2 linked regions of the Alligator mississippiensis genome follow. The protein of the gene in region 2 purifies or fractionates together with the protein of the main gene of each other region. This does not show direct contact. Links are inferred from orthologs where the notes say so. Each region holds a gene or a part of one and is shown on either strand. Other genes may lie near its edges.

What was found.
Region 1: the proteins of MECOM (region 2) and SUV39H1 purify together in Homo sapiens (affinity purification with western blotting; 3 studies listed by BioGRID). This does not show direct contact. The link is inferred for Alligator mississippiensis from reciprocal best matches to the Homo sapiens genes MECOM and SUV39H1.

The regions. Positions count from the first base shown.
Region 1 is NC_081831.1:28,365,178-28,372,139, forward strand, and holds the start of SUV39H1 (histone-lysine N-methyltransferase SUV39H1), read right to left. Parts: upstream 3,022-6,962; 5' UTR 2,856-3,021; coding exon 2,837-2,855; intron 642-2,836; coding exon 496-641; intron 1-495. UniProt on the Homo sapiens protein: Histone methyltransferase that specifically trimethylates 'Lys-9' of histone H3 using monomethylated H3 'Lys-9' as substrate. Also weakly methylates histone H1 (in vitro).
Region 2 is NC_081830.1:74,444,019-74,450,844, forward strand, and holds the start of MECOM (histone-lysine N-methyltransferase MECOM), read right to left. Parts: upstream 3,010-6,826; 5' UTR 2,915-3,009; coding exon 2,878-2,914; intron 1-2,877.

The sequences.
Region 1 (6,962 bases), on a different chromosome or scaffold from region 2:
TAGAGAGGGTTCTGGGTGAGTGTAGGAGGTAGAGAGGGAGGCACTAGGGTTTCAGGGGACCAAGATGGGTATAGGGGGTTCATGGGGGTATAGGAGGGCTGTGGGGGTGCTTGGGAAGGCTGACGGGGATTTCAGAGGTGCCAGGGGGGAACCAAGAGATATAGGGGGGCTATGGGGCTTAACAGGGCAGATGGGGGAACCATAGCAGGTATAGCGAGGCCATGGGAGTAGTGGTGGTACTGGGGGGACATGGGAGGTACCAGGGGGTCTTGAGATAGCTATGGGGAGCTGTGGGAGTACCAGGGAGGCCAGCAGGGATATCATGGGGCTATGAGGATACCATGGCCTCTGGGGTAGGGGATGAATTGAGAGGCAGGGTGTCAGGCAATGGGGTGGGGGCTAGGGGAACTGGATGGGAGATCCATGGCTGTGTGGGGGGCAGGGGGGGTACTGGGGACCCATGGAGGTACCAGAGGGCTGTGGAAAGACACTCACCCGCACACGCTTGTAGTCACACAGGTACTCCACCTCAAAGTGGCTGAGGTTGCGACGAGTGACACCCAGGTCGGGACATACCACCTTGGCCAGGCGGCACAGGTCCTGCAGCTGTACCCATGATGACTTGCAGTACACAGAGCAGCCTGCAGGGGGCACCACACAACTGAGAGGGGCTGGGGGGCCTGGCTCCCAATCCCCAGTCTACCAGACCTCCATTCCCTTTGAAAAAACAGTAGAGAACCCAGGTGTCCAGGCTCCAAACCCATGCTCCTCCAGAACCCCCATTTCCTTCCCAGAACCAGAAAATAACCCAGACATCCAGGCTTCCAACCCACACTCCACTGAACCCTTATTCCCTTCCCAGAGCTGGAAAAGAACCCAAGCACCCAGGTCCCCTGCATGTCTGACCCCAGGCTTGGTGGCCCTCAGTTACTTTTGCCAAGGGGGCACATGGAGCTTACTTACTTTCCCCAGGGGTCTCTCAGGTGTAAGACCATGGATCCTGCCCCCATGAGGGGCAACTTTTAGGGTGGGAGGGGGCATCTGTACAGGAATGGATGGAGGAGGGGACAGTTTATCTTTCACTTCCCCTGAGTGTGGCAAGAAGGAAAATGAAAGGGAGGGAATTGGGGTTGGTATGAGTTTGGTGAGGGGGGCTGCCACCCATTGCTAGGGGTTGGCATTAGCTGGGGGGGTGAGACTGTCATCTGGTTCATGAGTTGTGAGGAGGAAGTTGTCACCCAGTGCAAGGGGTTGGCCTGAGTATGGAGTGGCAGTCACTTGATGCCAAAGGTTGGCATAAGGGAGAGGACTGTTACCTGGTGTCAGGGGTTGGCATGCATGTGGGGGGAAATATCACCTGGTACCAGGGGTTGACATGAGTGTGGGGGAGGGGGTTGTCACCTGGTGCCAGGCATTTTGGGGGTGGCAGTTTATCAGTTAGCCAGGGGTTTCATTTGTGTGTCAAGGCCTGTGTCAGGGGTTGGAGGTACCTGGCACAAGTTGACTTAAGCGGGGCTGGGTCTTCCATCATCCATAGCAAGGTGGAGCCGCAGGAACCCATCAGGCCTGTCACCAGGTGTCAGGAGGGGCTCACTGATGGGCACAGGGTAGGGAGGTGAACATGATTCACTTCCTGAGGGACAGGGGCTTGGCATGATCTTGGTGGGGGAACGACACGGGCACTCCATGAAGGGTACGGAGTTGACATGGGCTGGTTGGGGAGGGGTTGGCATAGGCATGGCGGAAGTCAGGCAGGGCAGGGGCTTCACGTGACACCGCTGGTGGAGGCTGGGGGAACATCATGAGTGGCAATGGGTTGGTGTGAGTGAGGGGCAGCTTAGCACCCTTCGGGTGTTGCCCCACGAGGGGCAGGGGGTTAGTATGACCCTATCAAGTGTAGGGGGTCATATCACAAAGGGCAGGGGGTTAGCATAACCCTGTCAAAATGGGGGGGAAGTCACATCACGAAGGGCTTAAACCCATCATGAAGGGCAGAGCACTGATGTGACCTTGGTGGGGAAGCAGGAGGGATTGTGTTAGGAGGGGCAAGGGGTCGTTATGACCCTGTTGGGGAGGGTGAAGCTCATGTCATGAGGAGCAGGGGGTTGCTGTGACCTTGTCAAATGTCACATGGGGGGAGGGGCGGGTCATGCCATGAGGGGAAGGGGGTTCACGTGAACTTGTTGGGGGGGGGGGGGGGGAGAGTTACAGCATGAGACACTGAGCCCAGTTATAACCCTGCTGGCAGGTAAGGAAAGAGCTGGGGTTCAAATGGGGTCTTGGGGTCATGTTACACCATATCATAGTACAAGTGGCAGAACATTGGCACGACCCTGCATGACTGGGGGGAGGACATCAGTTCACATGCAACATGGTAGTTGGCACAACCCTGTTTCTGTATGTGTGGGGGCAACATGCGCATCTGTGTGTGCCTGCCGGGAAGCTTGGCGTGAGTATGGGAGGCAACAGGGGAGCATTCTGGGCAGGAACCAGTGCCTGTCTCTAACACTCCCAGCCACGGGCTCTTAACATAGGTTCATGGTGGGCCCCTCTTGCCCACCCCCGCCATTAGAGGGGGGTTGCAATGGGGGGGGGCTCTCCCCCATTGGGCATGCGAGGGTTCCTCGACCTTCTGCGCATGTGCAAGCACTAACAGTTCCCCCCCTTTAACGGTCGCCGCCGCCTTGCGCGCGGGAAAGGAGGGGAGGCAGCTCGCTCCTCGTTCGCACCTCCTCCCTCCGGGCTGTTTCCACCCTGCCACCCCACACCGCCGCGCCGAGCCGAGCCGCGCCGCTGCACACCGCACGCGCTGACCGACTGCCCCGGCCCCGCTCACCTTTTAAATTTTCCGCCATCTTTATATTCCCTTCCGCCAGCCACTGGGGCCGCCTGAAACGTCTCCCTCCCGCGGGGGGAGCAGAGGGAAGGGGGGGGAGCCCGAAACCACGCCGCCCATTGGCTGGCTTAGACAGACTGCAGGCGCTTCGAGCAATCGGAAGCCGATTTGTTCCCCGACCGGTGCCGCCCACCTTGCCTGCAATCCCGCCTGGGGGGGTGTCCCGCCCGAGCTATTTATTTGCATATTCTCCCATCTTGCGCCGCGGCACCGGGGTGGGCTTTTATTTTTCCTTTTTTGGCGGCCAAACGTTCCCGAAAAGACCGAGAATGGGCTGAAAATTGGTCCCGATGCCTCGCTACGTGTTCAAAAGCTCTATTCCTAGACTCGCCGCCTTTTTTGGGGGGTGGAAGAGATGCAGAGTGTTCACCCTCGCTGAGTTTCCCCTCAGCCCAAAAGGTCAAAGGGGCATAGGGAATCTGGACCCGCCCCCCAGTCATTAATTAGGGTCTTCAGCTATATATTGATAAGTATGTGACCCCCTCTCCCCCCCCCCCCCCCAGTCTTCCCCTAGCATAGTCATTTAGCCAGCCAAGAGTAACACGAAGGACTGGGGAGAGGTTTGGCAGGACTGATGTCAAGACCTGAGCACCCCTTGCCCACCCTCACACACACTGAACTCCTGGAGTCCTAGTCCAATAGATGGACAGACACACAGAAACTAGGCACCCAGGCTACACACACATGTACCTACACACATGCACAGAACCCAGGTGTCCCGGACACACACATGCACACGTGCTACCCTAGGAGTCCGGGACACATGCATGCACAGAACCTAAGTGTCTGGGACACATGCACATGCACACACACCCCAGGCATCTGGGACACACACACAGAACCCATGTGTCTGGAATACGCACACACATGACACCCAGGCATCCATCTCTCTCACACTCAAGCATAGAACCCAGACATTCAGGCCATGGATACACATACACATACGCACACACATAGGAAAACTAGGTGTTGGGACATGTGCATTTGCACGTGCACACACACACACACACACACACACCATGTGTCCAGGTGTTTGACAGTTGCCTCCCCCCTGCCCCACGTCTGGAACACACACACCAAGGTGAGGGAGCGGGTTGACATGACTGACATCTATCTGCTTCTGGGTTCCTGTTCTGTTGGAGGAAGGGACTCTGAACTCACTGACCCTTAATTACTTTGGGGGGGGGGGCATTTGCAAGACCCACTAGGTGGGGATAGCACCCTTTGGACAGGTATTTCCCCCCCTCTCAGTTAGGGGCAGGAGGGCAGGATAAGCCCCGATTCCCCAAAATGGGACATACCCCTCCCCTATTTCCCCCAAGCCAGTTTATGTCCCCCAATCCAAGGCTAGATCAGGCCCAGCACCCCAATTTCCTATATAGCCATGAGCAAAGGCAATCCAACCCAGAGCTGGCTGCATCCCACCCCAGACCTGCAGCCACTGGAGATATCCAAGCCAGTGGCACAAATTATGGTTTTAATAATGACTGGCACTACACTAATTGCCACGGGGGCTGATTTATTGTCAAAAAGAAAAACACAAATTAAATGGCTCTATCATGATCAAACACAAACAACCATGATCATGAACAACCATGGCCCATGCTATGCCAAGACATGATCAAGATGGCCGCCATACAGGAACCCATGCCCCCTTCCCACTAAAAAAACCCAGTTAGAAAAAGAAAGAAATGGCAGAGTGCTTTAGCATGCCTGAAAGGGAAAGGCATGCTAAGAAAGCAGAGCTCAGACCTGGCTTGTTCATTAGATCCTGCTGAGATCAGAAAGCAATCCCAAGCCCCAGCCCAGAGAGGAGTTTTGCCTACTACAATCTGCTCCAGGGGCTAATTTTCACCCTGCTCCAAACCCTCACTCCCCCCTCCCCCGGGGTATAGAGATCACTTCAACTCAAACTTGGCTTGTTTGTTAGATCTCACCAACACTGACACACAGAGCCAGGCTGGATGCAAATCCCTGTTCCAAAATTAATTGTGCCCCCCTAAAATCTATGTTAAAATCTGCTCTGACCTCCTATTCCTCCCACATAAAGATCACCTCCCGGGACCAGGGCAGGGGGATCAAAACCTGTAGCTATGTTGGAGACTAAACCCAGCCCTGGGAGAAAGCTGCCCCACTAAAACTTGTGCTAAAACCTGCTTTGACATAGACACAGAGTTTGCAGAGGCCTGAAGGCCCTGCCCCCCTCTTCGGAAGAGGGTAGGGGGACCATCTATCCCTAATTGAGCAGGACAGTTCCAAAGTGGGAACATCAAGCCCCGGTCCTGGGCTGCATGACTCCAGGACAGCATTTGTCCCAGTATTGTTGAGGGTTTTCTGTTCACCATGGAAAAACGAAGGAAATGGCAGATTTCCCCTTGCAGACTGGCAGAGTTCCAGCAAGGGGCTGCGGGGAGTGGGATGCGCCATGTCCATGCATGCATGCACACACATGCATGTGGCCAGGAATGCAACCCCCAGACAGCAGCAGGTAGAGAGCAGCTCCCCCAGCTGCCTGCAGGTAAGTCTATGGAGGGCATAAGTTGAAGCTCCCATGGTGAGGGAGGGAGTGGGGCAGGGGCTGGGTTTTGGGGCACTACCCAGCCATGGTGATGCATGGAGCCCAGGACCAGGACAGGGAGTGGGACAGAGCTCCTGGCGGTTCATCTGGGGTGGGGCAGTTCCCTGCCACTGCGTGCATTCCCAGTAAAAGGAGCATGGCGGGTCATATGTCCCCCAGGCTTATGTGCAGGGCAGGGGTGGATGTGGGCTGCCCAGTGTGCGTTCAGGGCTCCTTGCCTTGCTGCCCTCCCCCCAGGCTCCCCATGCCAGCTGTGCCACCATGGTGAGGCTCCACCTGCCTACCCAGCAGCAACAGAGGTGGCGGCATGGAGGTGTGTGCAGCTGGCACAGGGCTCCTGGGGGGATGTCAGCAGGGCGGGGAGTCCTGAGCCCACAGTGGGCAACCCGCATCTGTCCCTGCCCCTCCCCACCCCCAGCTCCGCTCAGCTCAGCTGTGCCCATGCCGGGAGTGGGGGAGGCGCAGCATCTCTAGCCCCCCCCCAGCAAAAATAAAAGTTAACACCTATGTTATATTGTATTTTCCTTGACACCCCCCCCCATTATAAAGATCACTTTACATCAAATCTGGTTTGTTTGTTTAATCTTGCCAAGATCCAAACACAGAACCAAGCTGAATGCAAACCCCAGCTCCAAGAGGAATTTCCCCCATTCCAAGCCCATGCTTAAACCTGTTCTAATCTCATGTGCTCCCACCCGTTAATCACCACACCCCCACCACCCAACATAAAGTTCACCTCAAATCAAATGTGGCTTGTTGGTTAGATCTTGCTGAGATTGAAACAAACTGAATTAAAACCTTGGCTTGTTTGTTAGATTTTGCCAGGATCAAAACCTGTGGCCACGCTGGAGGCAAACCCAGCCTGGGGAAGAATCTTCCACCCTAAAACACATGCTCAAAACTGCCCTAACCTCATATTTCCCCTATCACCAACCCCAGTAAAAGATTACCTCAAATCAAGCTTGACTTTTTTGCTAGATTTCACCTAGATGGAAACCCATAGCCAAAATGGAGGCAAACACAGCACTGAGAGGAAGCTCCCCACTAAAACCTGTTCCCAAACCTGCTCTGATCTTATATTTCTCTCTATCCCAACCCCTCACCACCCTCCTGGTATAAAAAGCACTTCAAATCGAACTTAACTTCTTGACTAAATTAAAACCTAGAGCCATGCTGGATGCAAACCTCAGCCTGAATATGAATATTGCCCTCTAAACTCTCCCTCAACCCTGTTCTGGTCTCATATTCCTCCACACCACCGCCATAGCATAAGATCATCAAAACTCAAGCTAGGCTTGTTGGTTAGATCTTGCCAAGATCACAGCAGCAGGGCAAGTTGGATTCAACCCTACAGGGGGGTAATAATTCCCCACTAGAATCACTAATGGTGCTAAAGGATAATAGAGAGAAGGGGGGGTATTCTGGGGAGCTAGGTCTGGGTGAGGGTTGAAGAGGGGGATTCTGGGTAAAGCTGAGGCAGGGGGACAA
Region 2 (6,826 bases):
TGGAGCAGACGGACAGGGCGGGGGCCCTGGGGGCGCTCTGTGCTCCGACAGGGCGGAGAAGCCTCCTCACGAGGCGCCTGGCGGAGCCCAGCGGGGCCCGGGCCGGCGGCCGGGACGTGCGTGAGCTGCAGCCCGCACCCCGCGCTCCGGCCCGGCCGCTGCCTGGCGGGAAGGGAGGGCGGGAGCGCGGGCTGCCGGCAAAGTCAGGCGAGACAAAGTGTCTTCCTCCATCTTCCCCTTCAGGAGCCGGCTCTTGCCCCCGCTGCTCCCGTCCTCGGCCCGTCGGCGGGCTGCAGGAGCCCGGTCCCACCCCGAGCCCAACGCCGTCGAGCAGCACGAAGCCAGGCGGGATGGCAGATAACGAGCCCCGCTGAAAGGGGCTGCGAGCCCGGGCGCTGGCAAACCTTTCCCTGCACGCAGGCCATTTCCCGGACGGGGTTTTAAGAGGCAGATAAAGTCGCCGGCTCTGCTCGTCCGGCCGGGCTGGAGCGCGGGGCTGAGCCGCATGCCGGGCGCGGGGAAACCGTGTCCCCCGAGAGCGCGAGGGGCTCTGGCTCTGCCTGGCCCGCCTGTAAAACAACGGCGATAAAGTGTAAAAGTAACGAGCTGCCCCTTGCCCCCGCGTGTGCTCCTTCATGCGATCCCCCTCGGGCTCTTTACGGGGCTGCCGGGCGGCTCCCCGCGGTGCTTGCTCCGTGCACGGCTCCCGGCTCGGGGCAGTCTCGCTCTTCCGGGCCATTTTGATTCAGAGGGATCCAGTTTCCTCGGGCAGGGGGGAAACCGCCCCCCGCGGCGTGTGCCAGGCTCCCGGCCCCGAGCACGGCCGGCAGCGCAGGTGCGGAGGTGCCGCGGGTCCGACGGGCACGGGGGCTGCGGCGGCTCCTCTCCGCGGGGCCGCCCGGAACAGGCTGCCCCCGAGAAGGGGAGGGGGACGGGAGATATGCTTCCTTCTTCCCCTTCCCTCGACTTATTTTTACAGCTGGGCGTTTAAAATGGTCCCCCACTACTCCCGAAGTGGCTCCTTTTGTTTCTTTGGGGGAATCCCCCCCCACCCTTTCCAGGTTTTAAAAAATATAGGCATCCTTCAGCCGGCACTGTACTGTACGCGGGGCACGTGCCCCCCAGCCCTCCCTTTGCTCGGCTGCGGGGCGTCTGGGAAGGCTCACTTCGCACAAAGGTGGCGGTGGGGCGAGAGGGGCCCCTTTGCCGCAGCGGGGCGAGAGCCCACGAACCGGGCCCTTTGCCCCGCAGCTCTGCCAAGGGCCCGGCAGGGCCTCGCGGGATGTGGTGAAAAGCTGCAAACTTTCCTGGCAGAGCGGCGGGGGGCACCGGGCAGCTCCACCGACGGGCCCGGCGCGGGCTCTGCGGCCGACGCGCTGCGCAGGGGCCGGGGAGAGTGTCTGAAAATAGCAAGAAGAAAGGAAGGAGAGAGCAAAAAAAAAGTTGTTGTCATGCTAGTTGCTTCGTGGGCGAGGATAGGAAGCGAGGCGGCTGCTGGGGCGGGGGCCCGGAGGGGCACCTTCCAAGTGGGCGGCTGTCGCCCGGCGGGGCGGCCCGGGGAGAGGGCAGCGGGGCCGGGGCTTGCTCGGGGCCGGGACCCCGAGTCTCCCGCTTCGCCTCGCAGCGGGGCAGCTCCTCGGGAGGCTTATTCCTAGGTCTGCTTTCAAATTGTGTTGACTGGGAACATCCCGTTTAAAAAGCAGCTAATCAAAGGCAGGTTGTCGCTGGCGGGCAGCGCGGGGGGCAGCGAGCGGGTCCAAAGGAGCCTGTGGCTTTTCCCTTTTTTTTTTTGCACATCCCTATACAACAGGCGTGTGTGCGTGTGCGTGTGCCACCAGAGAAGGGTGCCTGTGCGTGTGTTTTCACCACCAGAGAACGACTCAAAAAGCATCTGCTTCTACGTCATGCAACTTACGCAACCCTTCGTCTTGCCGTCATATTTCTCCCCCCACCCCGCACCCTCCTCCTCGCACGTTTTCACTTGGAAAGGTAAGTTGCAGAGGCGAGGGGCAGCCAACGAGCCTGGCTTCCAGGAGGCGAATCAAGCCATCGGCCGCAGGGCAAAGCAGACGCGAAAGCGGACTGAGTTTGCTCCTCCACCTTGGTGCACGTTTAAATAATAATAATGACAATAATAATAATGGCAGTAAGAATAATGACAATAAGAATAATGATGACAATAAGAATAATAACGATGAGAATGATAATAATAATCAACAACGAGGACAAGGGCGGCGGAGGGGGAAGCCCCCGGAGGGCAGAGATGCGCGCCCGAGGCCGGGGGCTGGGGCGGAGGGGCTGCTTGATGGCAGCACCTCGAGGCCGCGGCCCCGCACCCCCTGGCCGCCGGGCGGGGCGGGGCGGGGCGGGGCCGGGCCGGAGGCTGCGGCGCTAGCGCGGAGGACCCTTGCAGGCGGGTGGGCCCCGGCCCGCGCCCCCGGCGGAGGCTGCGCTGACAGCGCGGGAGGCGGGCGGGGGTCCCGCGGCCCGCGCCGCCGCTGCCCCGGCCCCGGCCCCGCCCGCCGCCGGCCGAGAGCCCACAGCGCCCACTACCGCCCGCGCCTCCCGCAGCCGCCGCTCAACTTGCCGCGCTCAACTTTTGCTCAACTCCTCGCCCACCCCCGCGCCGCGCCGCGCCGCGCCGCGCCGCGCCCGACCCGCGGCCCCAGCCCGCGCCCGACCCGCCGGGGAGCTCTGCCTGCCCCCGGCCCGGCCCGGCCCGCGCTGCCCGGCGGGGCGCCCCGGCGCTGGGCGCGGGCCGGGAGGCTGCAGGTTGCACCGCGCCGGGGACCCGACCCCCTCCCCCGCCCCCGGCGCCCCGTGTGCAACATGGCAGAGCCCGGGTGAAAAGCCAATAGAAAGGGATATTGCACCTACTTGTGGCCAGTTTCCTTGCCCTGCCTTTGGATCGCATGCTGCCCGTCCCGCGGCGCTGCTGGGCTGGGTGGCTGCGTGGGGGGGGGGGTCCCCTTGGATCTTTTCCTCCTTTTTTTTTTCTCCCCCGCTCCCTCTCTCTCTCTCCCTTTCTCTCCCTCTCTCTCTCCCTCTCACACTCTCTCTTTCCAGGCTCGCTATCTCTCCAGCATTGTCAGTTTGGACACCTTCGCACATGCGCACGGGCTGCTCCCCCCCGCTCTTCAACCTCTCGGCGCCGCCAAAAAAAGTTTGGAGCGATCTATCACTTGGATCTCAGGATCTTGTCAGATGGCAATCGGCGGCGGGAGGGGGCCGGGAGCGGGGCGAGGACACCTCTTCCTCTCCAGCACAAACAACCTGGCCGGAGCCAACCAGGCGCAAACGCCCAGATGCTTGGGAGGAGCGGGAGTAGTTTTATTCCGCCATCAGCTGCACCGCAACCACCACCGCCACCACTGCTAATTATTAGTATTAATCACGCCTTCATTCATTAATAAGCCACCAGCCTGCGGATCAGATCTGGGCTTGGGAGCCCCCACCCTGTCGGGGGGGGGTATAGATAACACAGGACACCTCCCCGCTCCGGCTGTTGCAGAGTTTGAGGGGAGCACATGACACTTTTTGCACCAGCTTTTCTGTCACATCCAAGCCAGCCTGTCACCCTTGCAGCGCTGCCGTGGCTTATTCCCCCACCCACTCGCGACCATCAGTGCCTGGAAAGGCAGAGAGGTGGACGGGGGCTGTGTGTTGCATTATTGTGCATGCCTGGAATTAAGTGACAAACACACACACACACACACACACACACACACACACACACCCTCCACCCCCAGCTCGACTGCAGCTATCAGCACTTGGATAGGAAAAAAAAAAAAGCCCTTTGGAAAAGACTAATGCCTGGTCTTCTAATCTGTTTTAATTACAGGCTTTGCCCATCCAAGAGGGAACACGTTGAAATGGGGAAGTCCTTTAGGGGCTGGCTGTGTTCGAGGTATGAATCAATCCGAACTACATATAGATTTTCCTCGGGTACAACCTCCCTGCATTAAACAGTTTTGTTCAATACCTTCCATGCGCTATTTATGTTCCCATTAATATCTGTTGCAAATCCTGCCAGACACCATAAAAGAAAATTACAGTCTTTCGGACTCGGGGCTGCGCCAGGACGTCCACGCTGCTCGAGTTTTTGTTTTAATAAAACCCTAAGCATCGCTTTCTTTTTTCTCTCCCCCCACCCCCCAGCCCCGCTCCCGTTGCTGTTTGTCACCTGTTGGTGCTCACTGTCACAATCCTGGCTGTTCCCGGGGGAAGGAGGGGGCAGAGAGCAGTGGCCTCCCCCTCCCCTGAGCCGGTGGTGCAGCAGGACCGGCCGCGGCGGGACGGACTAAAGGGGCGCTGGCCCCGGCGGGGGTCGCGCTCGCCCGTTCCCACGCACCGGGACGAGACACAAGTGTCCCGAGTGCCTGCAAACAAGCCGGCGGCCGGGGCAGGCTCCCCGCCGGGCTTCCCCCAGCCCTGGCCGAGACACCCGCGTTTGAAACCTCCCTCTGGAGCGAATCGCACCTATTTTTTTCATAGGGGCAGGATAGGAAAACCGCGCGTCTCCTTCTCCTGTGGGGGTGGGGGGTGCCAGCCAGCCCTGCAGCCGTCGGATGGGCTGATCAGTGCGGCGCCTCTGCACCCACGGGCCCGGACACATCCCGGGTGTAACTTCAGGCAGAGGCCGCGGAGGAGGCAGTGTCTCCTCTCCCTGCATCACCTGCTCCTTCCCCGCTCCTAGGTGTAACCCGGGATCTCTCCAAGCCCCCGTCCCCCTGTCACCGAGCCATACCCCGGCCAGGCGCTGCGCCCCGCAGCCCAGCTCTGGCACCACCGCGGCCCCTCTCCCCATCTGCTCCGCACGCCCCCACCCCTGCCTGGGAGGAAAGGGCAGCAGGTGCTGCAGTCATTCCCCTTCTGCAAGGAATGACTGGAAGCATTTTGGAGCTGTGCTGAAAGGCTCGTAGGTGATCCGCGGGGTAATAGCCGATCAGCCCCGCCGGCCAGTGCCTGGGGAAGACAGTAGCTGGGACCACCGTCCAGGAGGCGGCTTCGTGGTGGGAAAGAAAGGAAGCCCCGCACTGTCAGGGCTGCGCTCAGCGGGGGGGTCTCTCCTTCCCCCGCACAAGCCCTGCGAGCACTGGGGGGTTGTCGGTTTCTCCCCAAGAGTTTTTTTATAGCGACAAATCGCCCGGGCGCTGCCAGATCTCTGCAGCCATCCAAAATGTTCGATAAACTTTGCAAAACTTTGCTTTTTTATTTTATTTTTCTTTCTGTTTTTCTTTTTTTCTTTTTTAACTACCTCCCCGGCCGAGCTCCCGGCCAGGGGCAGTCACAGATTCCTGCCCCGCTCCGAGACCCAGAAAAGCAGCAAGAAACCAAAAGCCCTGGATTTTCGATCGCTTTGCAACCCCGAGCCGATGAATGCCGCTGCCCCTTCCCCTTTGCAGCACATCTGCACAGGAGAGCAGGCGTGTTTGTTTATATGCCTCCCCGTGGCAGAAAGGGCAAGCGGGTGTTTAATGTATATATGCAGAGAGGGAGTCCGGTGAGCAGCCCACATGGGGCTCTTGACCTTGGGAGACTCCCGCTCCGTGTCCCTGAACGCTCCCGCGTGTCAGTTTCACTTGTTTCCAGTCCCGAGCCATCAGGAGCCCTGAACAGGTGTTTCCCTGCTTTCCAAGCCGCCCAGCAAACCTCTCCACTTTTATTTCGGCGGCATCAAACCCGATTTCCCGCTGTCCCGAGCTGCCCGGCAGTCGCAGCCCGACCCTGCCCAAAATTGCTCGCCCTCCCCAAGAGGTCCCCGCCGGACCCACTGCAAATCCGTTTCAGTTCGGGTTGTCACGTCTGCCCGCGCTGCACTAGCCCTCGGTTTGGGAGCTCGCAGCCTCCTGACCGCGGCGCTCGTTGCGGGGAGGGGGTGCGGGCTTGTTTTCCGTACAATCCCAACCAAGATTGTTTGTTTTCCGCTGCAGAAAAGGGTTGAACGCGAAATCTATTTTCATACATGGGTTTGGGTTTATTTGGGGGAGGAGGGGGGGAGAGAAGAAAGCATCCCCGAGATCTCGGCGCCCTCCACATAACAAGAAATTTTCCCTTCCTCCAATGATAATTGCACCAGCCCCGCAGATCTTTGGAGGAAAGTTGGAATTCTTCATCGAGGTATTTGTTGTGCTATTGTCTTTGTGCAGTGAACTTTACGTGGTGCTATTCAAGCCCAACCTAGATTCTCCTAGCTCCCCGTAAGATTAATTTAATCATTGTAATGTAATCATTAATACTGTTGACCCGACGCTTGGTTCAGGTTTGCTGTTAAGAAATGAAAGCCTCTTGCTGGGTGACCAAGCGCCGGGCAGGGGTTTCCACTCCGCGTTGAAGTGAAACAGCCCTCTTTATTTCGACTCACAACTCAGGCTTGCAGCCGGGAGCTCAATTAGCCAAAATGGAAACAATTTTCATTCATTGCAATAACTCACTGTTCTGCAGATCACTTTCAAAATATACACTTTATTATTATATGCTGACCTCAGTGCCGTGGAGTGGCAAGGCTAGAAAGAGGCAGGGGGATCTCTCTAGCCCCCTTGGGCTGTAATTATTAGAAATTAATTGGGTTCAGGACCCCGGGTAGCCCGGGTAAATTAATAGCTTGTCTAGTTGTTTCAATCCGAATTCTCAGTCCACGGGACAGAAGGGGAGGGAGACTCTCCAACGTGAAATCCAGACCCCAGAGACACCGAGTTGACTTGCAAGATCCGCGTCTCTTGAGCACTGGTGCCCAGAATAAAATTGAAAGAAGGGGGAGGACGGCACTGGCCGGCTGTGTAAAGGGGACCTGGTGGATGTGTTTGCCTCCGATTTTTTCCTCTGT